Caenorhabditis elegans: one gene and its partners. The protein of the gene in region 4 purifies or fractionates together with the protein of the main gene of each other region. This does not show direct contact. Each region holds a gene or a part of one and is shown on either strand. Other genes may lie near its edges. The genes, in order: athp-2, rfc-2, czw-1 and him-1.

Evidence for each region.
Region 1: the proteins of him-1 (region 4) and athp-2 fractionate together in Caenorhabditis elegans (co-fractionation; one large-scale study listed by BioGRID). This does not show direct contact.
Region 2: the proteins of him-1 (region 4) and rfc-2 fractionate together in Caenorhabditis elegans (co-fractionation; one large-scale study listed by BioGRID). This does not show direct contact.
Region 3: the proteins of him-1 (region 4) and czw-1 fractionate together in Caenorhabditis elegans (co-fractionation; one large-scale study listed by BioGRID). This does not show direct contact.

What each region holds. Positions count from the first base shown.
Region 1 is NC_003280.10:4,338,530-4,343,188, forward strand, and holds the start of athp-2 (Bromodomain adjacent to zinc finger domain protein 1A), read left to right. Parts: upstream 1-1,652; 5' UTR 1,653-1,666; coding exon 1,667-1,779; intron 1,780-2,564; coding exon 2,565-3,029; intron 3,030-3,666; coding exon 3,667-3,938; intron 3,939-4,659.
Region 2 is NC_003282.8:1,345,615-1,353,320, reverse strand, and holds rfc-2 (Replication factor C subunit 2), read right to left. Parts: upstream 6,008-7,706; 5' UTR 6,004-6,007; coding exon 5,857-6,003; intron 5,786-5,856; coding exon 5,679-5,785; intron 5,554-5,678; coding exon 5,430-5,553; intron 4,546-5,429; coding exon 4,467-4,545; intron 3,930-4,466; coding exon 3,754-3,929; intron 1,791-3,753; coding exon 1,536-1,790; intron 555-1,535; coding exon 438-554; 3' UTR 344-437; downstream 1-343.
Region 3 is NC_003282.8:7,943,086-7,948,377, forward strand, and holds czw-1 (Centromere/kinetochore protein zw10 homolog), read right to left. Parts: upstream 3,508-5,292; 5' UTR 3,491-3,507; coding exon 3,197-3,490; intron 3,154-3,196; coding exon 2,597-3,153; intron 2,543-2,596; coding exon 2,000-2,542; intron 1,952-1,999; coding exon 1,141-1,951; intron 802-1,140; coding exon 670-801; 3' UTR 535-669; downstream 1-534. Other genes in the region: F20D12.12 (uncharacterized protein), read left to right, coding at 4,386-4,419, 4,826-4,869. UniProt on the Caenorhabditis elegans protein: Essential component of the mitotic checkpoint, which prevents cells from prematurely exiting mitosis. Required for the assembly of the dynein-dynactin and mdf-1-mdf-2 complexes onto kinetochores.
Region 4 is NC_003279.8:4,951,638-4,959,579, forward strand, and holds the start of him-1 (Structural maintenance of chromosomes protein 1), read right to left. Parts: upstream 6,031-7,942; 5' UTR 6,024-6,030; coding exon 5,802-6,023; intron 5,753-5,801; coding exon 5,171-5,752; intron 4,922-5,170; coding exon 4,013-4,921; intron 3,961-4,012; coding exon 3,611-3,960; intron 3,554-3,610; coding exon 3,334-3,553; intron 3,147-3,333; coding exon 2,865-3,146; intron 2,768-2,864; coding exon 2,419-2,767; intron 2,284-2,418; coding exon 2,162-2,283; intron 1,881-2,161; coding exon 1,674-1,880; intron 977-1,673; coding exon 653-976; intron 395-652; coding exon 173-394; 3' UTR 1-172. Other genes in the region: mzt-1 (Mitotic spindle organiZing protein (MOZART) homolog), read right to left, coding at 6,220-6,327, 6,373-6,440, 6,490-6,517; enu-3.3 (ENhancer of Uncoordination), read left to right, coding at 7,855-7,914. UniProt on the Caenorhabditis elegans protein: Involved in chromosome cohesion during cell cycle and in DNA repair. Required for chromosome segregation during mitosis. Central component of cohesin complex. The cohesin complex is required for the cohesion of sister chromatids after DNA replication.

The DNA of each region.
Region 1 (4,659 bases), on a different chromosome or scaffold from region 4:
CAAATTGATAAGTTGAAAACTTTTTTTTTGATAAGTTGAAAATTGAAAAAAGTGTGCGCCTTTAAAGAGTACTGTGTTTAACTGTGAATTTTTGTCGAGTTTTTCTCACAATTTGTGAAAATTTATTGTCTTTTTTATCGAAAAACTATGAAAAATTGATGAAAATTCACGAATTTTTGAAGTTACAGTACTCTTTAAAGGCGCACACCTTTACACACGCACTTAACAAAAATTGTCGCTTCGAGACCCCAGGTACTGTAGTCTTGGCGCATTTATTTCCAATTTTTTTGATCTTTATCCCATCAACTGGTCTCATCATATTTTCATATTTGTACAATATTTCTGTATCTGTATTTTTTTTTGTAATTTTTGTGGGCAGTTTCTTAATTTCCATCGCCGTCTTTCCTATCTCAGGTCCTTTTATTTCATGAATAATTGATTTTTATCCTAGAAAATTTGGATTTTTTGTTGTAAATTTACCTCTTTTAAGGTGTTCAAAACCTACTTTTTATCTGTGTTTTTTGAAAAATTTTGAAAAATTTTTTGCGGATGGGTCTCACCGCGAAGTCTGAAAGTTACACTGCAACTTTTTCCTCGCGAGGGACGAGGAAAAGTGGTTTCTAGGCCATGGCCGAGGGGCCGACAAGTTTCAGCGGCCATTTATCTTGCTTTGTTTTCCGCCTGTTTTCTTTCGTTTTTCATCGATTTTTTTCGTTTTTTCTTAATAAAACTGATAAATAAATATTTTTTGCAGATGCTAAAACAATTTCCAATTTCCAAGTGAAAAAATCATGCATTCAGTGGGCAAGCAGCGGTGAAAGTGGTCAATGTAATATGATGGATTACGGGAATACAAAACCTAAACTTTTTCTGAAACATGATACATATGATGCTTAGATGCTGAAATTACCTGATTTTCATAACGAGACCGCTGAAAAAGTTTTGAGGTTTTCAAAATTCAATTTTTTTGTGCGAAAATCTCGACTTTTTCACCAAAAAAGTTGAATTTTGGAAACCTCAAAACTTTCTTAGCGGTCTCGTTATGAAAATCAGGTAGTCTCAGCATTTAAGCAGCATATGTATCATGTTTCAGAAAAAGTTTAGGTTTTGTATTCCCGTAATCCATCATTTTACATTGACCACTTTCACCGCTGCTTGCCCACTGAATACATGATTTTTTTTACTTGGAAATTGTTTTAGCATTTGCAAAAAATATTTATTTATCAGTTTTATTAAGAGAAAACGAAAAAAATCGATGAAAAACGAAAGAAAACAGGCGGAAAACAGAGCAAGATAAATGGCCGCTGAAACTTGTCGGCCCCTCGGCCATGGCCTAGAAACCACTTTTCCTCGTCCTTCGTGAGGAAAAAGTTGCAGTGAGTTAAGATTACTGTATTCAAAAACCAGAAAAATACGTAGAATTGAAATTAAGAAACCAGAAAATTTCGAAAATTCATAATTTTTTGATTAAAAAAATTCAAATTTTTGATAAATTTTCTCACTTTCCTCGTCGTTTTCTGTACATTTTTCTACATTTTTTTTCCGATAAAAAAAAACACAGACCAAATTCTCGATTCCTACAGTAATGTATACTTTTCCCTGTGAGACCCATCCCTAGAAAATGCACTATAATTTTCCCCCAATTTTAACAGAACTCGGCGAGCACATGCCGTTGCTTCACAAGCAACAATTTGAACCACAATCAGTGCCAGATGGAGTCACTCGGGATACGCCAGTATTCTATTGCAAGGCTACAAAAGAAGTCTTTTTGACACATGAGTAAGCAAATGGGAAAATGGTTTAAATTTCGGATTTTTTTGTTGGAAAAATAGGTTGGAGCACTTGAAAAAAAGAGCCAAATAAAAAAACTCCAATTTTATCCGAAAAAAACCTTTTTTGTTCGAAAAGAACCGAAAAAAACCCCAATTTCGCAGAAAAACACCTATTCTTCCCAGTCAAACAAAAACAAAAAACAACCAAAAAACTCGTTTATTTTTTGCAAAAAAAAGACACCCATTTTTGCCAAGAAACCCAAAAAAAATCTTTGTTATTAAAAAAACCCCTCTTTTTTTCCCAAAAACGAAAAAAAACCGATTTCTCTCCGCAAAAAACCCCAATTTGTCAGAAAAAAACAAAGAAGAAACATTAAAAAGGAATTTAAAAAACCTATTTTACAAAAAAAAAGCAGAAAAAATATGCAAAAAACCTATTTTTCCAGAAAAATGCGAAAACCCCCCCCCCCCCCCATCTTTTTGCCGAAAAATACAAGAAAATCCCATTCTTGCAAAAAAAAATTCGGTTTTGTCAAAAAAAATTAATTTTTGCCAAAAAATGAACACAAAAACCTTCTTTTTTTTCCTTGAAAAAGCCCGAAAAAAAACGTTCAAAACCAAAAAAAACCCCCTTTTTTTTCTTTAAAAAAACCTGAAAAAAGGAAAAAAACTCCGATTTTTACCAAAAGATGAGCAAAAAATCCCGAAAAAAATTGACAAATTGCAGGACCCAATTTTTACCGAAAAAAATGCTCAAAAAACCATTTTTGTCAAATATCTTCAATTTTTCAGAGAATATTTCAATCGAATGATTCTACTCAACTCAACAGCCTGGTCATGTTCTCTTACTCGAAAATCAAATCTAACATATTTCGAAGCAATTGCCAGTGAACGAGAAGCCGAGCAAGAGCTCTGTAACTTCCCAACAGCTCTCGAAATTCCAATTACTTTAATTGTTCATAAATATACGAATCGTGGCCGTTTCGAAGATCTCGTAAATGATATTTATCACATTTTAAAAGATCGATTTTTCAATAACGAAGAAGTCGCCTACGCCGAGAAAAGCCGCAAATTTCTGGCGAAAATCGTCGAATCCAACCAAATCGAAGAGCAAAATCCATCTTTTGAGGGTGGAAGTGAGCTCAAAGAGCCCATTTTACCGCCGCCTGACACTTTTCGATACACACTACAGATTCTTGATCCAGCGGTGTCGGAAGAAGAAATGTATAGAGAAGGAATTGCTTTTGATCGACTTTTGTGAGTAAAATTAGGAAAATCACACGAAAATTGGAAAAAAGAAGAAATTTGACTCTAAAAATGCAGTTTTTCAGTTATAGGAACTTCTGACCAATCAGCGCCTAGCCACGCCCACTTTTGAACCAATCAGCGACGATCTGTGCCGCTGATTGGTTCAGAATTGGGCGGAGTCAGGTGCTGATTGGTCGGAAGTTAATAGTGACGGATTTTGACAATTTTTGGCAATTTCTGAATTTTTTGAGTAACTTTTTTGTATTTAAAACAAAAAAATCCAGAAAAAATTGCACTATTTTTTATAAATTTCGATTATAATTTTTTTTGGGAAAAAAATTCCAAAATTTCAACAAAGAAAAAAGCTAAATTCTCTCTAAAAACTAGCGAAATTTTTTTTTTAGAATTTACGAAAAAAATGGCAAAAGTTTGGAAAAAATCAAAAAATTAACGAAAAAATGTAAGAATTAACCGGAAATTGTACAAAATTGCGAAAAATTGAATGAAAACTAACGATTTTTTAAAGAATTTTACGTTTATTTTTCGATATTTTTTGAAATTTTTATAATTTCCCAAGCTACAGTAACCCTACAGTACCCCTACAGTTTGGAGGAAGAAAATCAAAATTAATTTCCCCAATTTTCAGCCGCTCAAAAAACATTGGATCCCGTCAAAAAATCCGTTTATTCCTTAAAAACTGCTGTCAAATGTCGCCGGACAGTGAACGCTACACACTAAAATTCCAGTTTTTGGAAAAAATCGATAATCTCTACTGGACCGATGTAATGTCTGGCGCTGAGCCAATTTGTCCTCAAACTCCTGCTCTGCAACGTGGACGTGCTCCGAATACTCTCAAGGCTGGGGATCATGAACGAAAAGAGAAGAAGCCGAAAAAAGAGGAACGGGATCCCGCGGCTCGTGAGTTCCTTTTTTTTTTATAAAATACATATTTTTTTTCAATAAAAAAATGCTCTGCCGGAAATTTTTTTTTCGATTTATTCATTCAGAAATATTTTTAAAATGACAAAAAGAATCGGTAATTTAACGGAAAAAGTTTGAAAATTGATGAAAAATTCAAAAATTTAACTAAAATTTGGAAAAGCTCAGAAAAAATTTTAAAATTTGCGAAAAAAAAAATTTCATGTTTAATTTTTAGTAGTTTTCCGTTAGTTTTCAGAATTTTATTATTATTCAGAAAAAATATAAAAAAATTAAATTCCGAAAAATTCTAAAAATTGACGAAAAATATTAAAAAATAACAAAAAGTTCAAAATTTTGCGAAAAAATTACCGAAAATTGATGAAAAACCAAAGAAAAATTTCAGAAATTCAGAAAAAAATTTAAAACAGAAAATACGCAGTTTTAAGAGTTTTTTGTTAATTTTTAGAATTTTTAATAATTTTTCAGAAAAATTCTTTTTTTTTCAGAATTTCTCGTATTTTTAAAAGAATTTTCCGTTAATTTTCAGAGTTTTTAGAATTTTTATGTAAACTTTTCGTTAATTTTTTAATTTTCAATATTTTCAGTTTTTTCGAATTATTTTTAAAAATCTTCGTTAATTTTTAGATTTTTAAACTCTTCGTAATTTTTAAAATTTTCAGTTTTAAGATAAAACGACCAAAAATGAGCAAAGTATGAA
Region 2 (7,706 bases), on a different chromosome or scaffold from region 4:
CAGTTCAGTTGCCGAGGTGGCGAGCCAAAATTTATAGCATTCCTCGGCAAAAACTGGAATTCCGGAAAAAACCGGAAAAGGCTAAAAAATCTTCGAATTTTTAGCAGGGATTTGAGCAAAATTTGAAAAATCCAAGAAAATTAATTTTTTGCATCAAAAAATTGAAAAATTCAAAAAGTGTGCAATTGCCGAGTTGCCGTACCCAAATTTTTAGCATTTCTCGGCAACTGGGATGAAATTGCTAAAGTTCCGAGGAAAATCCATCTATAAATATGTTTAAAGTGCAATAAAAATAATTAATAAAACGCGCAATTTCGCTGCGAGACCCAAAACTACATATTCTGTACAAGAATCGGGTTCATTTGAAATTTTGAAAAAAAAAATTGAGAAGATATGAGGATCGACGTGAAAAATAATTGAAAATCTCGGCAACAATTTTAGGCACTCGTAGCCGTTGCCGCTGCTGAAACTCGGCACAGATCGGCAATCAGACGGGAGAGTTGAAGTTTCGAAGTGAGTCCCTGCACGATACGCATATGGCACATGGCGATTTGCTGAAAAATTGTTTCGTTGTTTTTTTTTAATGGTTTTGGGCTAAAAAATTAAAATTTGGGCATAGCTTCCGCATCTCCAGTGACAAATGTGCTCTATTGCACAAATTGTTGGTTGGAATACGGTATTTATTGCATATTTCAGCCGAGAATACCACTATTCAAACCATCAATTCGGATAGAGAAACACACAAGTCACAGACAATATACCGGGAAATTCAATTCAGTTGCCAATTTGCCGGAAATTTCAATTTCGGCAATTTACCGATTATCCGGAAATTTTTATTTCCGGTAACTTGCCGATCGGCCGGATATTTTCAATACCGGCAACTTGCCGATTTGCCGGAAATTTTGATTTTTGGCAATTTTCCGTTTTGCTGGAAATTTCAATTCCGGCAATTTGCCGATTTGCCGGAAATTTTTGAATTCCGCTATTTTCCCATTTTGCCTCAAAATTCAATTCCGGCAATGTGGCGGAAATTTTATTTTTTATTTTTGGCAGTTTGCCAATTGGACGAAAATTTTCAATTCCACCATTTTGCCGTTTTGCCGGAAATTTCAATTCCGACAAATTGCCGATTTGCCGGAAACTTTCGATTCCGGCAAATTGCCGAGTTGCCGCAAATTTTCATTTCCGGCAATTTTACGGTTGGCCGGAAATTTCAATTGGAAATTCAGTTCAGTTGCCGAGTTGCCGGACTCAATTTCCGGTAACCAAAAACTAAAATTCGGCAATTTCCGGCAACTAGTCTTCGAAATTCACGATTTTCGCCAATTTTAGGCTACCAATCCCTAAAATCCGGTGGTTTTCGGCAATTTTCAGCCACAAAGGCCGAAATTTAGATATTCCGATGATCTAACAACGAAATTTCGCGTTTTTCGGCAAAACAAAGCTCCAAAAAACGCGGATTTTTGACAATTTTCAGAACACCCCGGGCGGCTTTTAGCCGCTCATTTTGGCTCATTTTCCACCCATTTTCTCACCCGAATATACTCCATTCTCAGCTGTTCGGACACATTTTTCGACAGCTCGACAGTCTTTACCACACGGAACAACGTTGATACAATATCGTCTGAGGAGAAGCCAAGCCGATGAAACTCGTGAATAATCTTGGATGCCTCGAAGAATTTGCGATCCGTACAGTAATGGAGCATTTTGATCATAAGGTCCGGGTGTGGCTCATCACAGACTTTCAGCACATTTTCCTTGTTCACAAGCTCGTAAGCGTTCACTGTTGCCTGGAAAATCGGAACATTTTACTTTTTTAGCCGGAAAATTGCATATTTTACATAGTTTTTAATTGAAAATAAGACATTCTAAATTTTCTACAAGTTTTCAGCCCAAAAATGGAAAATTTGTTTTGAAACGCAATTTTTGTTTAAATTTTCAGCAGATTTTTACTAAAAAAAAATTGGGCATAGCTTCCGCATCTCCAGTGACAAATGTGCTCTATTGCACAAATTGTTGGTTGGAATACGGTATTTATTGCATATTTCAGCCGAGAATACCACTATTCAAACCATCAATTCGGATAGAGAAACACACAAGTCACAGACAATATATAGGGAAATTTAGTTCAGTTACCGAGGTGCCGAGCCAAAATTTATAGCATTCCTCGGCAAAAACTAGAAAAGGCTAAAAAATCTTCGAATTTTTAGCAGGGATTTGAGCAAAATTTGAAAAATCCAAGAAAATTAATTTTTTGCATCAAAAATTGAAAAATTCAAAAAGTGTGCAATTGCCGAGTTGCCGTACCCAAATTTTTAGCATTTCTCGGCAACTGGGATGAAATTGCTAAAGTTCCGAGGAAAATCCATCTATAAATATGTTTAAAGTGCAATAAAAATAATTAATAAAACGCGCAATTTCGCTGCGAGACCCAAAACTACATATTCTGTACAAGAATCGGGTTCATTTGAAAAAAAAATTTGAAAAAAAAACATTGAGAAGATATGAGGATCGACGTGAAAAATAATTGAAAATCTCGGCAAAGCTCGTAAGCGTTCACTGTTGCCTGGAAAATCGGAACATTTTACTTTTTTTTAGCCGGAAAATTGCATATTTTACATAGTTTTTACTTGAAAATAAGACTTTTTCTAAATTTTCTACAAGTTTTCAGCCCAAAAATGGAAAATTTGTTTTGAAACGCAATTTTTGTTTAAATTTTCAGATTTTTACTAAAAAAAATTGAAAAATTGGGCATAGCTTCCGCATCTCCAGTGACAAATGTGCTCTATTGCACCGAATTGTTGGTTGGAATACGGTATTTATTGCATATTTCAGCCGAGAATACCACTATTCAAACCATCAATTCGGATAGAGAAACACACAAGTCACATTTTCATGAAATTTCCACTTAATTATACTGGAAATCGGCATTTTTGCAATTTTTGTGGGGAAAAAATTGTTAAAATACCCCTTTTTTAGATGTCCTTTATCGAAAAAAAAAATTAACTGAAAAATGTAAAAAATTTCAATATTTTGATGAAATTTCATGATTTTCACTGAAAAAATGAGAAAATTTTAATGAAAATTTCAATTTTAGGAAAAATTCTAAGTTTTTTTGTTGCAAAATGTAAAAAACTGGTGAAATCAACAAAAAAAAATGTTTAAATAAAAAAATGGTACGAAATCCAATTTTCATGAAACTTTTTGAGATTTTCAAGGAAAAAAGAACATTCAGCGAAATTTTATATTTTTAGACCAATTTTTCAAAATTTTGAAAATAAAATTATGGAGTTCGGAAGGATGGCCAAGTTTTCCTGGAAATCTTTTTTGGAAATCTTTTTTGGAAATTTTTTTAAAGTTTTTTTTTTTTTTGGAATTATCTGGAATTTTTTGGGATTGTTGTGAAATTTTTAGGATTTTTTTTTGAAATTTTTAAAAAGTTTCCTAAAATTTTTTGAATTTTTTTTTTTGGATTTTATTTTGGAATTTTTGAGATTAATAACATTTTTAGATTTTCACTGAAGAAAATTTGGAAAAGGTCAATTTTTAGTGAAAAAAAATCCTTTAAAAATATGATTTTTTTCACCTTTTTTACGGAAAACGCCAAATTCCAACTAAATTAGCTAAAATTTCCGGTTTTTCACTACTTTTAAGCACATACATTGTAAAAATTCTGGTCTAGAAAATTGTGAATTTTCGCAATTTTTTCCAGCGTTTTCAGCTCAAAATTCAGCCTTTTCCCGGATTTTCTACCTGTAAATTGTTCAACGCCTGTCGCATATCACCCTGTGCAGTGAACAGAATCGCTTCAAGACCCCCGTCGTCATAGTTGACCTTCTCGGCTTTTGCAACCTCCTTGACACGTGTCAACAGCTGTACGGGGCTCAATTTTGTGTAGCGGAGCAGGGCACAACGGGATTGAATGGGCTCTGAAAGGGGCAAAAATCGATCGATTTTTTGGGGAGTTTCCAGGCCGAGATCTGTATTAGTGTGGACGGCAAGTGCCGTTCGGAAATTTTTTGTCAGCAAATTCGGCAAATCGGAAAATCGCCGGTTTGCCAATTTGCCAGAAATTTCAATTCCGGCAATTTGCCAATTTGCCAGAAATTTCAATTCCGGCAATTTGCCAATTTGCCAGAAATTTTAATTCCGGCAATATGTCGATTTGCCAGAAATTTCAATTCCGGCAATTTGCCAATTTGCCAGAAATTACAATTCCGGCAATTTGTCAATTTGCCAGAAATTTCGATTCCGGCAATTTGCCAATTTGCCAGAAATTTCAATTCCGGCAATTTGCCGATTTGCTAGGAATTTGAATTCCGGCAATTTGTCGATTTGCTAGAAATTTTCAAAACCAGCAATATGCCAATTTGCCGGAAATTTCAATTCCGGCAATTCGCCAGAAATTTCAATTCCGGCAATATGCCGATTTGCCGGTAAAATCGTTTGCCGTCCCTAATATGTACCAATAATCTTCTCGGATTGATTGCAGGCCAACGCAAATCTTGTCGTCTTTGTGTACATCTCCATTGTGCGGCGGAGAGCCTGAAAATTTGGTTTTTTTTTTTTGGAAATTCAATGCAAAATTCGTATTGAGCTCGTTGAGAGCTTTCATTTAAGTATAATCATGACTGGGTTCCGAAAATTTCGAAAAAATTGGAAATTTTTTAATCATCGTGGCGGGGGACTAATTTTTCGAGTTTAGGAGGTTTTTTCGGATGAAAATTGCATTTTTTGGGGGGATTTTCATTGGAAAAAATCGAATTCCTCGCAGAAAAACTGGTAGATTGACATCCAAACTGGCTCAATTTCAAAAAAAAAAACACGAAAATTTTGATTAATTATCGTGTAAATTTTCCTGAAAAAATAAGTGAAATTGTGTGTGCAAAGTTACCATTTTTCTCGGTTTTTTTTGTGGAAAAAACGGGCAATTTTCTGATATTTGACATTTTCTCTTTAAAAAAATCGCAAATTGTCTCGGAAAACGCTAGAAATTCCGGATTTTTGACCATTTAATTTATGGCATTTTTCATTTAAAAAAAATTCGAAATTTGTACCAATTTCATTGCAAAAAGCTCAAAAATTGCGGAACTTTGATATTTTCGTCAGAAAATTCCGATTTTATCTAGATTTTGTCAAAAAAAAACTGAAAAATCTACTAAAAACACTCACTTTTCGGCTTTTTTTACTTAAAAAAATCCCGCCTACGTTTAAGTCTAAGCCTGAGCCTAAGCCTAGGCCTAGGCCTAAACCTAATCCAAAGTCAAGGCCTGAGCCTAAGCTAAAGCCTGAGCCTAAGCCTAAAAGCCTAAGCCTAAAACTTTCAGATTTATTTCCAAAATTATCGCAGCCTAGTCATGTTCATACTTAAATCAAAGCTCTCGTTGAGCTGAATTCAAATTTCCAAGTTTTTCGGCAAAATTCCGCACCTGCTGTGCACCATCGGTCATCGAATCGGCCTCGTCCAGTATGATAATCTTGTGACGGCCTTCTGGAAGTGTCACCTTCGTCTGGGCGAACGTTTTGATACGATGACGGACCACATCGATTCCTCTGGAAATATTGGCAGTTTTTTGAGATTTTTTTTTTGAGAAAAATTCAATTTTTTCAAAGTTTTTAGCGAAAAAGTCAATTTTTTTGCAATTTTTCCCAGTTATTCAGGGTTTTTTCTCACAAACCTCTCGTCCGACGCATTCAACTCGAGCACCGCTTCCTTAACCTTATCGCCGAGCAATTCTCGAGCCAACGCCCACACTGATGTCGTTTTTCCGCAGCCTGGGGGACCCTGAACGGAAAAATTCGATTTTTCACTTCACATTTTGACTTTTAAAATGAATTTTTCAACAATCTTCTCACCGACAAAACAATATTCGGCACATTTCCCTCGTGTCCGATCACTTTGAGCCGCTCGACAATGTTCTCGTTGCCGACAATATCGGCGAGCACTTTTGGACGATATTTCTCCACCCATGGCGCTAATTGTTGCTTTTCCGACTTTGACATAGCTGGAAATATTGAAAATTTGATAAGAATTCGATACAAAACTCGAAAAACGTGACGAAAATTCATGGAATGACAAAGAAAATCAGTTTGGCGCGCTTAAAATTCAAAAAACAAATATTATCCGAGAGGAGTACACCGAGCGGGGACAAGGTTTCCTCCTCGGCCGCGGCCACTTTTGCCAAAAAAAACAACAGATATTCATGAAATTGAGCCAGAATCGCTATTTTTGAACGAAATTTCGAATTTTTTTCACAGAAATAGTAAAATTGATAAAATGGGAAGTCGGAAATTACAAAAAATTGTAAATACGAGCTGTTTTTTCAGCGATTTCTAGCAAGAATTAAATGGAATCAGAAGAATTCTGGGCAGAAGAGCATTTTTGCAGATAGAAATATGTTAAATATAATACTATCAGTGTATCTGACCGGTTTAAATAAAGAAAATATGTACGACTGTGGCGGCTTCGGGCTGATTCTCACTTCTCGTGGCAAGTGGATGCACTTCATGGACTTTTAACAGCTACAACTTTTTTCGCGTTGGAGATAGAGCATATGGGCTCGAGCTCGAGCATTTGGGCTCGAGATTGAGCATTTAGGCTCAAGCTCGAGCATCTGGGCTCGAGCTCTTACTTACTTTACTTTGATACTTTGATGTCCGTTGGGTTCAAGTTGCGAAGAGGATAAACTCATTCCATTTTTTTTCACGGTCAGTACGTGCGATGGACAGCCATGGAACCTTCGGAGTGAGCATTCCAAGTCTTCTTCTTCCGACGACGACTTGTCCTGAGTCAGGACTCCTGACATCGAAAAAAGTTTTTTTGAAATAAATAAATAAATAAATAAATAATTAATAATTAATAATTAATAATTAATCATTACCTATATATAAAAAAATAGTGTCCGTTTGTTAACAAGTGACGTCATAGCTTACAAAGGCAAGGTGTTTTCGGCTGTTGGAGGGATATTAGTTTGTGGTTAGTAGAGGAATATGGGCGGGGTACTGTATTAGTACTGTAGGAGTACTGTATTAGTACTGTAGGATCACTGTAGTTTATGAAAAATTGTGTTTTTGTCTTTTGAAGAGATATAGGTTTGGGGTTAGAGGTGGGATATGGTCGGGGTACTGTAGTAGTACTGTAGAGGTACTGTAGGAGTACTGTAGGATTACTGTAGTTTATGAAAAATTGTGTTTTTGTCTTTTGAAGAGATATAGGTTTGCGGTTAGTAGTGGAATATGGTCGGGGTACTGTAATAGTACTGTAGGAGTACTGTAGGAGTACGGTAGGATTACGGTAGTTTATGAAAAATTGACTTTCCGTCTTTGGAAGGGAAATTGGAAACTTCTGGAAAATTCTGAAATGTTCCAGAACCTTCTGGGAATTTCTGGAAAATTCTAGAATGTTCCAGAACCTTCTGGAAAATTCTGAAAAGCTTTAGAACCTTCTGGAAAATTCTAGAAAATTCTGGAATGTTCCAGAACCTTCTGGAAAATTCGAAAAAATTCTGGATTGTTCTAGAACCTTCTGGAAAATTAAAAAAATGTTGCTGCGAGATCTTCGTGGCGAGAGCCATCGTGGCGAGACCCATCGTGGCGAGACCCACCGTGGTGAGACCCATCGTGGAAAGACCCATCGTGGTGAGACCCATCGTGGCGAGACCCACCGTGGTGAGACCCATCGTGGAAAGACCCATCGTGGTGAGACC
Region 3 (5,292 bases), on a different chromosome or scaffold from region 4:
ATAAGATTCGAAATATCACCTAGGAATCAAGCGATGTATCAAATTTCATTTAAAAAATGAGTAAGTTAATATCCACCAAAAGCCAAACATATAAAAGACTACAGTAATCATGGCACTTCAAAAAACGCGAATTGTTTATTACCACTTTTCATTTTCTTCAGGAATATGAAGAAAACGGAAAAAAGGAAAGCTGTTGCGATGTGGTGGATAAATGCAGAAGCTGCAGAGAGAAATAGAATAGAATAAACAAATAAGTAGAGTAGAACGTATTGTCGCCCGCCCGGGAAAGGAAACGGGCGGCCCTTGCGGACGGGATTAAAAGTCACAACTGGTTCAATGTGATGAAGCTCGACTTTCGCCTTCATCTGTGCCACCATCATATGACATACGCCTTCTGGTGGGCGCCCCCGACCTTTCAAAGTGGCGTCTTGTTGTCTGCACTCTCCAGAGGGCGCCAACGGAATGCATTTGAAAAAAGTTGGCAACATTCCAAGGCTATTGTGTCGAGTGCGAACTGATCGGAAACCGTCACCGATGTTTAACTTTATTCAGAAAACATTGGGGGAAACATACTGGAAACCGGTAAAACAGTGAAACACAACGCCAGTTAAAAATTAAAAATGAATAATGTATTGGCGTGGAAGAGAATATGAATTAGTTTAATACACATTATAAACGAGCGATAAGATCAGAACGATGTTGCGAGTCGGCGAATAATGCTTTAATCAGTCCAACAACTTCGGATCGGCTCAAATGTTCTGCCATTGGACCCTTAGCGTTGAACCATCGATGCTCGATATCCTGAAAAATTAGCATAAAAATTATTTATAATTTCTAGACTTTCGGAACAAAACACATGTAAATTTCATATTTATGTTAAATCAAAACATCAAAAGTCGACGTCCGAAACAAGGGTGTTTTTTTGATTTTTCACTATTTCAAAAAGGGTAACTTTTAATATTTTCCTTTTTCCAATATTTGAAAAAATCCAATTTTTGAAAATAAATTGCTTTAAATATTCGCAATTTCACTTGTTTTAGAAGAACTTTTTTATTTTAAAAAAGTTTCTCTAAAGTTCCATGGTCAAAACTTCACTTTCATCAAAACAATACTTTACACGATATTTGAAAAAAAACCAACCTGCATTCTGTTTCCAAGAACGAACACAATTTCATTAAGACGGAAATACTCTCGAGCACAGAAATCGGTCACTTTTGTCTGCTCCTTATAGGCGACAATATTGGCAACAACTTCCAAAAGTCTTTTGAAAACGTCAGCCATCACGTTAGCATCATTTTCGCGGAAATCGGAAGTGGTGACAACGTGGCGCACAAGAGAATCCAACAGGAACGAGACGAGTGATCCAATCACCTTACAGTATACCACCTCAGTCAAAGGTTCACGAAGATTTTTTGCAATAAGGCGAATATGAAGAAGGCAGGCGGCAAGACATTTGATAATTTTTGGCTCTTCTCTCGGAACAAGAATATCAGCCGACTCGGACATCTCTTCAGCAGCAGCAAATGTATTCTTTGTAGTCTTATAACTTGCAGGCAAGTGTTCAAAGATGCTATGATCCTCCAAATAAGCAGTCATTTCGCGACGGCATCTTGTCAGTGTCTTTTCCATGCAATCAGCGGCAACAGTACGCAATCTGATAACAGAATCAAGGAGCAATGGTTCCAATAACGTCTTCTGATTGTCACCACTAGCCTCAAACGACATCGTCATAATGCAGTGTGATATATAATGACAGTTGTTGTAAAAAATGGCAGCCATGTTCGGGATCGAACTGAACAACTCAGCATGCTTCCTTGGTGTGAGAATCACGTAGAGACGAACAATATTCTCGGCGGTAAGAGCGAGTTTCGCACGAGCACCTTCATCTTCACAGGCAAACGCAGCCTTCACGTTATCACGGAGAAGATTGACAAAGTTGATAGTTGATTCACTGAAAATTATTTTTTAGAAAAAAATAATAAACACTTTAAAAAATTACCTGACTGTACATTTCTGGAAAGCGAAGAATGATGGAAACTGCGAATCTTCATTATGGCTCCAAAGACGTCCAAGATCTTTTCCATATTCTTTAGCAAAATGTTCGGCATGTGTATGAGCCTTTGCAAGCAAATCAATATCCTTGATGGCTGAATCATCAACTCCAACTGTAACCAGTTTGTCATACGTTTCATTTATCAATTTATTCGCTTTTGAAACGATCGCAAAGCAACGACGAGTCACAAAAATTGTGTCCGTGTCAAGAGTGAACAGCAACTTTGCTTTCTGAGAAAAGAATCCGAGCTCCTTCATTCTTTCGACAAAGACCTCTCCAATTTGCAACAAATTAATGAACATCTCCTGATCTTCGTCAGCAGTTTCAGTGACGGGTGCTGCAATCGCAATTACATCTTTCAGTATCATAGTTATCAGTTGTTCCTCAATAACGCTTCCGATCATCGACGTGAAAGTCTTTCCAGTCGCGTCCAGCAGTTCGTGAGAATGAAGAACGGAGTGCAACTTCGTAAAAAACACTTCCATTGACCTGAAACAACCATATTTAATTAAATTTCAGAATTTTAAAGTGGTTTTCGCTCACTCGAGAACTTTTGCGACATCAATAGTCTTGTCCTTCTTGCCACGTGGTTTTTGGTTTATCAAGAATCTTGTCTGATCAGGTGTTGGATTATCCACAATATATACGTCAACACCATCGCGGCTAGCAACAATCGCTTCACAGAACACGTTCAAGATAACGATTTTCCAAGCGTCCAGTCGTTCTGGTAATTGTCCAATCATATTCATAGCACTTAGAGTTTCGTTCAGCATTTTCTGATCTTCCACGCTTCCAACATTGAATACTGAGAAAGAAACATTTGTACGATCTCCACATTTCTGTTTTGACAGTTTTGGAACATTCATTGCTCTTTCGTAGTCAGCGGACAATTGGTAACGACAATTGTAGCTTAAAACCGAATATTCTGCGGCAAAATGCTTCAATGGAACACTCATGTCGAAACCGTCTCGTCCAATTCCTTCAAGCAGCATGTTTGTGTCATTGAGAAAATCTTTACAAGCAAGAATAGCAGTTCCCCATTCTACACGATTCGTTGTTTTACTCCGCATAATTATCAATTGTTCTTCGACATTTTTCATCTGAAAACTCAATTGTTTTATATGCTTATTTTCGAACCATTACCGATTGCAGGAATTCCACCAGATTTTCGCAGCTTTGAGCTTGGGATTTAATCTCTGCGAGCATTTCGGGGCTGTCCTTTGCTGTCTGATCAATTAAGTTAGACAGATTTCGAGTAGACATTTCAGCTATATCCTCGAGGTTCTCAAGTCGGTCGAAAATAAGCTTGGCTGTCGCGTTAACATTGAGTGACACTTTCAGGTTTCCATACTTGTCCACAATGTCCTGCGAGATTGAAGTAAGTCCATTTTTCAGTTTTTTCTCAAGATCTCTATAGGATCCCTCGGATGACGCCATTTTTTAAGTTTCACAGCCTGAAAAAGAAAATGTTCTACGGAATTATTAACTAACAAATACATGAAGACAAGAGCATTTAAATTTCCCGCAAATAGAAAACATAAAAACGACAACGAGACACCGGTGCGCTCACTTTAGCAGAAAAATGTTACTCACGCGTTCACAGAGATGAAAATTAATAACGGGAGATGAGTTGCAGGCAAGTGACTGGGGAAAGAGTCAATTTAAAAAATGTTTAATTGAGAATTCAGCATTCGTGATTGCTTACTTTTTGAAAAAAGAGCGCCGCGTGAATAAAAACAATAACGTTTCTATGAAGAATAAGATCTTATTACGTATAATTATTACGTTGCAACGCGTTGAAAATCGATTTTAAAATCCTTTGAACGATAAAAACAAAAGTTTGTAAAATGATTTGAAATCGAAATCAAACTTCGTTCCACGCGCGCATAATTATGATTATTGGCGCCAATGTACGGTGTACATCCGTGTTTGCGTACTTCGGACATGCAGACAACGAGAGACTGAACAAAACTGAGACCCGAAGAACTCGGGGGATGTCCAACTGGGGGGATTCCCAACTCGGGGGATTGGCCACGCCCACAGAACCGTGCCTTACAATACGCCCATTTCTGCAACCTCCGCACGGTTTTGAATGATGATTTTCTTCATTGTTTTTTGGGGGAGAAAAATCAATTTCGACTCTAAAAAGTTCAATTTGAATTGTTTTTCTTCGTTTTTTTCAGCCATTTTCGCAAAAAAAAGTATTTTTCAACCGTGACTTGTTAATTCGCCCTCCTTAATTCGTGTATTCCTTTTGTTAATCTCTTTCCCTCTCATATTTTATCAATTTTTTTAATTTCTAGACTTCGTCGAATCGAGGGAAATTGCACGGATGAAACAGGGATGTGCTTCTCCAGGCCACCCACGTGAGTATTATATTCTCAAATTGTAGAAAGTAGGAAAAAATTGATTTAAGAACAAAAATTGAAATAGTTTAACAAAAAATTAATGAAATATCTTCGGATCGAACATATATGGACTTATAGAGGCATTGAAATCGTTGAAACAGCTATAATTTGCTGTCACTGCTCTTTTGAAGTCGGAATTTCTGTATAGTGGCGGGCGATCAGTTCTTTTCGATTGTACGTCTCTGTGAACGTTAAGACTCCAAACCGTAGACTTCTCAATTGAATTGTGTAGAATTTTGTAATTGCATTCATTTAAGCCAAAAGCCTCTAAAAACTAAGCGAATCTGATAATAGACCAGATAAAATCTTTTTTCATTTATATATCAGCGATGTCATTATGAAAGTTCTAATTTAAATTTTTCAGATCCGCCCGAGCTGCTCATCCTCCAAATTCTTCCGTTTTCATGACAAATTATTGTTTTTTTGTTGAAATTATGTAATTCATTAAATGTAATATTATCCTTATCTGTAAATAATTATCATGATCAATAAAATATCGCTCTTAATGTTCAATGAATAGCTTGCAAACCAATTTGTACAATAATTTCATTGAACAATTTCCTTCGGCTCTGAAAAACATTTCATCACAATTTTTCAGGTTATCTTATTCGAATTTTTTAAATAGAACTCGTTCTACGTTCTTCACTTCGTCTCCTCACGTGTAAATTGTTCTTTCCTTGCAAATAATCGATTTTTACGCGTCGCCTTTCCGTGTGAATTGTTGTTTCACTGCGAAAAATCGATTTTTTTGAAATATTTTACTTTTATTCCGCGAAAACGACTCAAAAACCGAAAAAAACAATTCAAATTGAACTTTTTAGAGTTGAAATT
Region 4 (7,942 bases):
AGTAATGTATAAGAGAGAAGAGGGAAAAACGTTTGAGACCTTTAAATGCGGGGAACTGTGTGACTGAGTGAATCGGTTTTTGATAATTAAGAAATAATGAGGGGTAAGGGAATAGTAATAATGAAATTATACAGATGATTTGATAGTCGCGGTTGTCAAAAATTTATATAATTTATGTTGCAATCGATGGTGTTGGTGGATTTTCAGTCATTTCATTGAGACCAATTTGTTTGAAGCGCGTCAAATCGAAAGTGAGAACACCAGATGTTGTACAAGCGGCTGGATATGGGAAGATTCCGATGAGTGAGTCAGCTTTGTTGTAGAACTCTTCTTTGAGAGAAATGACGATAATTTGCATATGCTCACGAGCTGATTCACAGATGTACGAAGCGACCTGAAATTACAAAAAAAACGTTACAATCTTTTCTCGCAGGTTATACTAAAGGCGGAGTAAAATCGTTTTGAAATTTTGCTTAAAAGTTTGATAGTTTGATAGTTTTTTAGATCAACTATCAAAAATATGCAGAAAAACCGGAGGATTTACCCTTATTTTATAATTTTTGTGTTTTACAACAGTAATATTCGGTCATTACAGTCATTTTTCTATCTTTTGAAGCAAAATTTAATTTTAATGAACAGTTTAAATAAATACCTTTCCAATATTAGTATTATCCAAAGCAGCATCAATCTCGTCGAGAACGAAAAACGGAGCAGGATTACGTCCGTGAACTGCAAAAAGCAGTGCCAACGCGGCAATTGTCTTTTCTCCTCCAGACAAGTTATCCATCGGACGGAAACGTTTTCCAGGAGCTACACAATTGTACTGGATACCATCCAGATAGGGCTCTTCCATGTTATCAGCTCCGAGGAAGGCTTGAGCAGAAGTATTTCGTGAGAGTTGCTTGTAAATGTCATCGATAGTGTTGGCCACAGGATCGAAGAAATCTTGGAAGCGTCGGTAGCGATCGGTTTTTACCTGAAAAAAACAATATTTTAAAATCGATAAAATATATGAGAAAAGTGAAATTGAAGAGGTGTGAGAGATAGAGGGGACAGATTGAGTGACAATATGGGTACAACTGTTGTCATTTTAAAGTTATGAATGTCTATGTCTCTTATCTCTAATGTTTTTGTCACTTGGTGTCCAGAAGGTGCACATTTTCATTTCAAGGAATTTCAAGAATATTCTTATTTTCAGTATAGGAAAATTATCGCAAAAAAATTATTTTAATGAAGCGGTTTTTTTTTCGGTGATTCAAACATGTTGGTTCAACGTTTTTAATTTAAAAAATGTCAAAATGTAAAAAATCACCCGATATCTGTGAAAATAACATTTTTTGAGTACTTTATCAAATCTTTTGACTGAAATAAATGTTCTTTTCAGATAAATCAAGAGATTTTCTATACTTTGAAAAAATAACTGATGCCCACTCCTGATTTGAATCCATTTTTGACATTTAAAAAATAATGCATTTTGTAGGTTTTAAATATATATTTTTTAGCTAATTTTCTAGTTTTTATCTAGTCAAGGAATTTTTTTTATTTTGGCCCACAAAATTATGTGTAAAATCTAAATTTTTCAATGTCTAAAATGGATTCGAAGCTCTCCTAAACTTTCATTTTTATCGATACATTTTCAGATACTAAACGTTTGGAATTTCTTAATAACTAACCTTCTCGAACTGTTGCCGAATTCTCTTCGCCTTCTTTCGAGCATTTTCAAGTTCTTCAGTCGACTCGGCTTCTCGTTCTTTCACCTCTGCCATTCTCTGATTGGCTTTCAAATTCGGCGCATTCATTTTTGACACATTTTTCTGCAGTTCATCGATTTCCACATTGAGTCGATTCGACATTTGCCGTACACCATCATCGTCATCCACCTGTAATGCAAATCGTGTGAATCTAGAAATGAACTAAAACACGGAGGGGGGCAGGGCGGGGCGGGGTTGGCAAAAGAGCAAATAATTTTTGATCAGCAACCATCACTAACAGGACTGCTGGTTTTTTTTAAACCGAAAAAGTAGATTTTTTTCGTATTTTGTTTGGCTCAAAAATCGAAAAAATTTAGGGTCAAAATAGTTCAGAAAAAATAAATAAATTTTTGTTGCCAGTATTTTTTCGGTTTGCTCAGAAAACCGAAACATGTCTTGGCAGCACTAACATCTTTATATTCTCGCGGTAACGAGTCGTAGTTGATTTTGATGTGTTGCTCTCGTTGAATTTGCTCCTCTGATACACTTGGACCATCGGTGGCTGATTGAGAAGACTGAGAAGCTGTGTCATCTGAAATTAATTGGAACTTGAAAGGAAACAGGGAGACAAAAATTATGAAATATATATCTAAAAGCTGAAAACTGAATTATGGAAAAGTGAAAATGCGATTTTTTCAAAACATCAAAATCAAAATAAATATCCAACCTCCATCATCTTCCTCATATTCAACGTCAGCCATACTTCCTGATTTGAGTGGTAACGCAATTTGCCCAAGCTTCACAGAATGAAGAAGAGAGTGCCGTTCATATTGCTTCTTAGTAAGCAAACTTTCAAGACGAAGAAGCTCTTTTTCAGCCTTTGTAAAGTCTTTCATCGCAACTTGTGCAATTTTTTTGACCTCATTCCACTCGGTTTCCAATTTATGTGATAAGGCCTTCTTCTCTTCCAGCACTTCCTTGTCTTGCTCCATGGATTCCGTGTGCTCTTTCAAAGCGGCCGCCGCCGTTTTCTCTTTTTTCTTCATGTCCTTATATTGTCGGTCGATTTGTGAAACCTGTAATAAAAATATTTCAAATAAGGTAAACAAAACAATTTTAAGAATCTTAAAGAAACTGATAAGGAGTTTCTTTACAAAAAAATGAAAAACGTACTTTCTCCTTTTCAACTTCAACTTTCCGATTGCCATCTTGCTCGGTGACAAAGTCAATTTCGTAGGCCAACTTTTGGATATCATCGTCAAATGATCGAAGCTTGTCTTCCATTTCTTGCTTGATACGCATTTCACGATTCTCATAGTCACGAATCGATGCGATTCCAACACGAGTACAGAAATCAGCGAAAATTCGATCAGCCACTTCATTGCTCTTCGTTTGCAGAGATTTTAAAGTACTTTCACTGCGTTCAAGTTTTTCTTGACAATTCGAGATTCGCGGCTGAAAATATATCAATTTTTGCAGATTACAAATTTAAAAGGAGGTCTAATGGCTCCAAAATTTGCTCCAAAATAAATAAATTTTTGAAAGATTTTTGAGAATTTTCATTACGAAATTCGTTAAGTTGAGCACTTTTTGGGGTTATAATTTTTTTTTTCCAGAACCGTTGGTCACTAAAAATAATCACCGGAAGCATATTCATCTCCGCGGTCATGCCTTCAAGCTCATTTTGAAGTCTTTCCAACTGCATTTCTCGCATATTCTTCAGATCTCGCTTCATCATTGCCAATCTTTGCTCATTTCCATTAATCTTGGAGCGTACACTTTCCACTTCGAGTTCACGACGACGATGTTTCTGAAGATCCGCGATTTTTTCGTTCAGTTGGTTCCGCTTTTCTCGGAGTTGTCTGGAAAAATATTAATGTTTTTTTTTCAATTTAATAAAAAATAAAATAAAAACTCACTTGACAACTTTCTCGTCCCATTTCTTGGACTTTTGTCTCAAATCAGCAGAACCTCCGGACATAACTCCAGATTGTTGGAACAGAGTTCCGTCCATCGAAACTGCCTTGAAACGATCTTTCAGCTCTCCTCCACCGTATGCAAGCTGCTTAGCATCTTCTTGACTCTCACAAACTAATGCGTTTCCACAAACGAATTGAAGAGCTTTTCTAGCTGCTTGATGTTGAGGATTGATGACATCGAAGACGAGCTTCACTCCAGCTGGCTTTTTGATTTCACGAAGTTTTTCATTTAGTGGATTAACAACTAGTGCATCATTTGGAAGGAAGGTTTCTGGGGGATAACGGTGATCCTGGAAATTAGTTATTATGAATTGAAATTTTGGAAGTGAAAAAAGAACAAACCTTCAGATAAACAATTGCCTTGGCAGCAGTCTCTTCAGTATCACAAACAATACTGTTCATATGCTTCTGAAGAATCTTTGTGGTGGCAATGTTGAACCGTTTATGAGACGGTTGACAGAGATCGACAAGTCTACCATACACACTCTCCGGGAAATTCTTTTTCAATCCTTCAAGTGCCTCCGTTCTTCTTTGATTTCTTTCTCCTTCTGCAGAATCTCCAGAAGCTTCGGAGAGTTGACGAACGACAGCTACAAGCTCTTTGTTGTATTCCGCTGCTGCTGATTTATCAATAACAACGTCATTTTCAATCTTCTTAAGATCAGCTTTCAAGATCTTTGTCTCTTCTTCAGTTTCCTTGATTCTTTGAGCAAGAGTTGCAATTTGAGTTTCAATTCTTCGCACATCACCTTCCTTCGCTTTAACTCTTTCTTGATGCTCCTTTTGGCGTCGAAGCTCATGATTTAGAGAACTCTTATCACCTTCGAACACTTGTTCGGCCATCAATAGCTCTCTTTGAACCATTGCTGATTCTCGCTGAGCTTGATCTTTCAGCTGTCCGTACTCACGTACTTGTTCATCCGAAAGATTTAACTCGCCTCTTTGCATCATATCCTGAATCTCTGCTTCATATGCGGCCTTCTTCTTTTCTAGCTCTTTTTTGCTTTTCTTCAAATCCGCCAGCTGAGTCGAGTTGTTCTCTGCCTTACTTTCTGCAGCGGCAAGCATCTTCTTCGCAATTTCCAGCTTCTTGTGCTCGTGAGCAACGGAAACTTTCAATGTCAGCATATTTTGTTGCTTTTCAGCCAAATCCGTCTCTTTCTGATCGAGTTTTCTTGTCATCTTCTGAACCTCGCGGAGAGCTTTCCGGTGCTCCTGATGAACCGCAGCGATTTTCGCTTCTTCTTTCGACTGTAATATATAATTTTGATTATTTTTATATACTATAAATCAATCAATCAAAATTTTACGATAAAATATTGAACAATATTAGCTTCACCGGAAAATAACTTTTGTATAACTTGGAAGAACTGCTTTTTAAGTTGTTCCAAGTTAAATAAGTAATTTTCAGATAAAGAAAATATTTTTCTAAAGTTTATCACAAAATATGAATGAAAAATATTGGAAGAACGTCATTTAGTAGAATTGCCTTCATCATACCCTAGTTGCTTCGAGACTTGCAATCGTCTTTTTCTGAGCGTTGATCTCCTCTTTTGATTCGTCGATCGTCCGTTCGCAATGGAACAATTGATGGAGAAATAGCATCGTCGATTTTGCAGCCAGCTCATTCTTCATGGTTTGATACTTTTCAGCTTCATCTTTCTCCATTTTTGCCTCACGTTTCTCTTGAGCGATTCCTCGTCTCTTGTTCATATTGTGTTGAGTATCATCTTCAGCTTTTGTCATCTCAACTTTCAATCTTTCATACTCTGCTTGAAACTCGTGTGATCGTGAGAGCTCCTCGAAGAGTTGAGTACGTTCTTTTGGAGTTTTCATGGCAATATTTTCGATAGCTCCCTGATATACCAGAAAGTTTCTTGCCTTGATGAAGATATTGATACTTTCCATTTCTTGTGAATATGCTGCACTTGTGACAGTTTGACCATCAAGAAGATGTTCAGATGTTCCATTATTGACGCCTCTGGTGAATGCCTTGACTTTTCCGTCAGAATATTTGTAGTTCATAGTGACACGACATTTCTTAGCAACTGGCTTGTTAATTGGTGCACCATGAATCAAATCCTAAACATTATTGATTAAAATCTTCTATATTTTATACTTTTTCTCTTACCGCATACTTTCTAACACGCAAACTGCTTGGCTTCTCTCCGAGCACGAACGAAATTGCGTCCATAAGATTTGATTTTCCTGAACCATTTGGTCCAATGATAGCTGTGAATCTTGTAAAGGGTCCAATAGTATGTTTTCCCTTGTAAGATTTGAAGTTTTCGATCTCGAGTGTGTGGAGAGTTCCTTTGCCTGGAAAACTATCCAGCGAGCTTCCGCCACGCATTATTAGTCTGAAGAATTAAGTAAAAAGTTATAGTTGAACAAGAATAAGAATGGTGAGGTAATTTTTGGTAGATAAACCAATATCATACATGGAATAAATAAAAATAGATAATAATGAGAAACCAGTTTAGTTTATTTTAAAAAAAGTGAATATACATTATGACCAGGTTTGCCGATAATTTGAGGAGCTGATTAAATCATGACAATGCATTTTCCCGATTGCTTGGTGAACTCTGTGTGCTGGGAGTTCCAAGGTTTTGAATAAGACGGACAAGGTTCAACGGTGAAACGCCCAGTGATAGTAACTGAAATAAGTGAATAAAATACTGGGAAAATCGATAAAATCTCACCCTCTCCACTGACGAAACCTGCTCAGCTGTGAGGAAAACATTTAGAAATTTTCCCATTTCAACAATGCCTGTAAATGTAAAAACATTATCGATTTATATTGAAAAAATTCAACTTACGCTGGGTGTGTTTCTTTGGGTCGCTCATAATCGATAAAATAACGGGGAGATAAGTGAAATTGATGATCCTTAAATAGAAAAATATAATTTCAATCCGTTGTTGTCAGAAATAACAATAATAAAGCATAAATTATCGAAAAATCACTTAGTATCGTTAGATGAACAGGTTCAAATTTGAAATGTGAGGACGCTAAACGAAACGCATAAATGTTACTGCGGAGTGTCGTAGTGTTGTTTTTGGAGGAATATTAAAATGAATTTCTTGCAATATTTCGTGATAAAGATGGTACAAAAGGTAATAAAAACAATAAGAAGTTAGTATTGAAAAGTTAAAGATTATTAGAGAAAAAACAACAGAGAATGTTGTAAAAGAGCATTCCTAATGCCACGCTGATTCAAAAACTCTGAGTTAGTACGCGGAACTTGCTGAGAACATCAATAAAAAATACAATTTTCAATAAGAAAACAACTATTTACATAAAGCAACAGATCGAAGAGAAGTAGTTAAATTCGTCAAACCTAGTGTAAATTTTTGTTTTTTTTTGCATGGTAGAGTCAATTTTTTATTTTTCTGATAGTACTAAATTAAAAAAAACAACGAAATATGTGAAGGAAATCGCAATGAATTGAAAAATTTCTCTGAAAGGCTGCCGTAAATATACATTTAAAGGGACACAGACTCAGTCGTTCGGGTCTCGCGGCGATTTTGGAAGTCACGTTTGAGGCCCCACGAAAAGGGGAGCAGAACGAAAAGGGGATCTGCGAAAAGGGGAGATACGAAAAGGGGAGATACGAAAAGGGGAGCAACGAAAAGGGGATCTGGCTGTGCCAAACGCTATTTTTCTCGAAGAAAACGATACAACGATGCTCCGATGTTACGCGTCGCGTGTTGTTAAGCGTATCTTCTAGAAGAAAATTTCAAAAATCAACGTGCGTTGCGTGAGAAAAATTGCGTTTTGTGCGTTTGGCACAGTGCCAGCTCCCCTTTTCGTTGCTCCCCTTTTCGTATCTCCCCTTTTCGTATCTCCCCTTTTCGCAGATCCCCTTTTTGCAGATCGCCTTTTCGTTCTGCTCCCCTTTTCGTGGGGCCTCCCAAAACAGGATGCAGTGACGGGACCTTTTCGCAACCACCGCACACTTTTTTCGCAAGCCTCGCACGTTTTTCTTTTGAAAAAATGCAACAATATCATGGAAAAAACGTGCGAGGCTTGCGAAAAGAGTGTGCGGTGGTTGCGAAATAGGCCCCGCCCCTACTCACGCGTGGCCACGTGGCACACGTGGCACACGTAGCGATTGAAATAAACAAATTATAACTTAAATTAGTTTGTGAAATCGGTTTCTCTCCGACACACGCGTCACACAAAAATGCGTATTTTGCGTATTTTGTTTTCATTGGTAATCTTCGGATTAATAGTTCATGTATTGGTGAGTTTTTTAGACATCCTTCGATTTT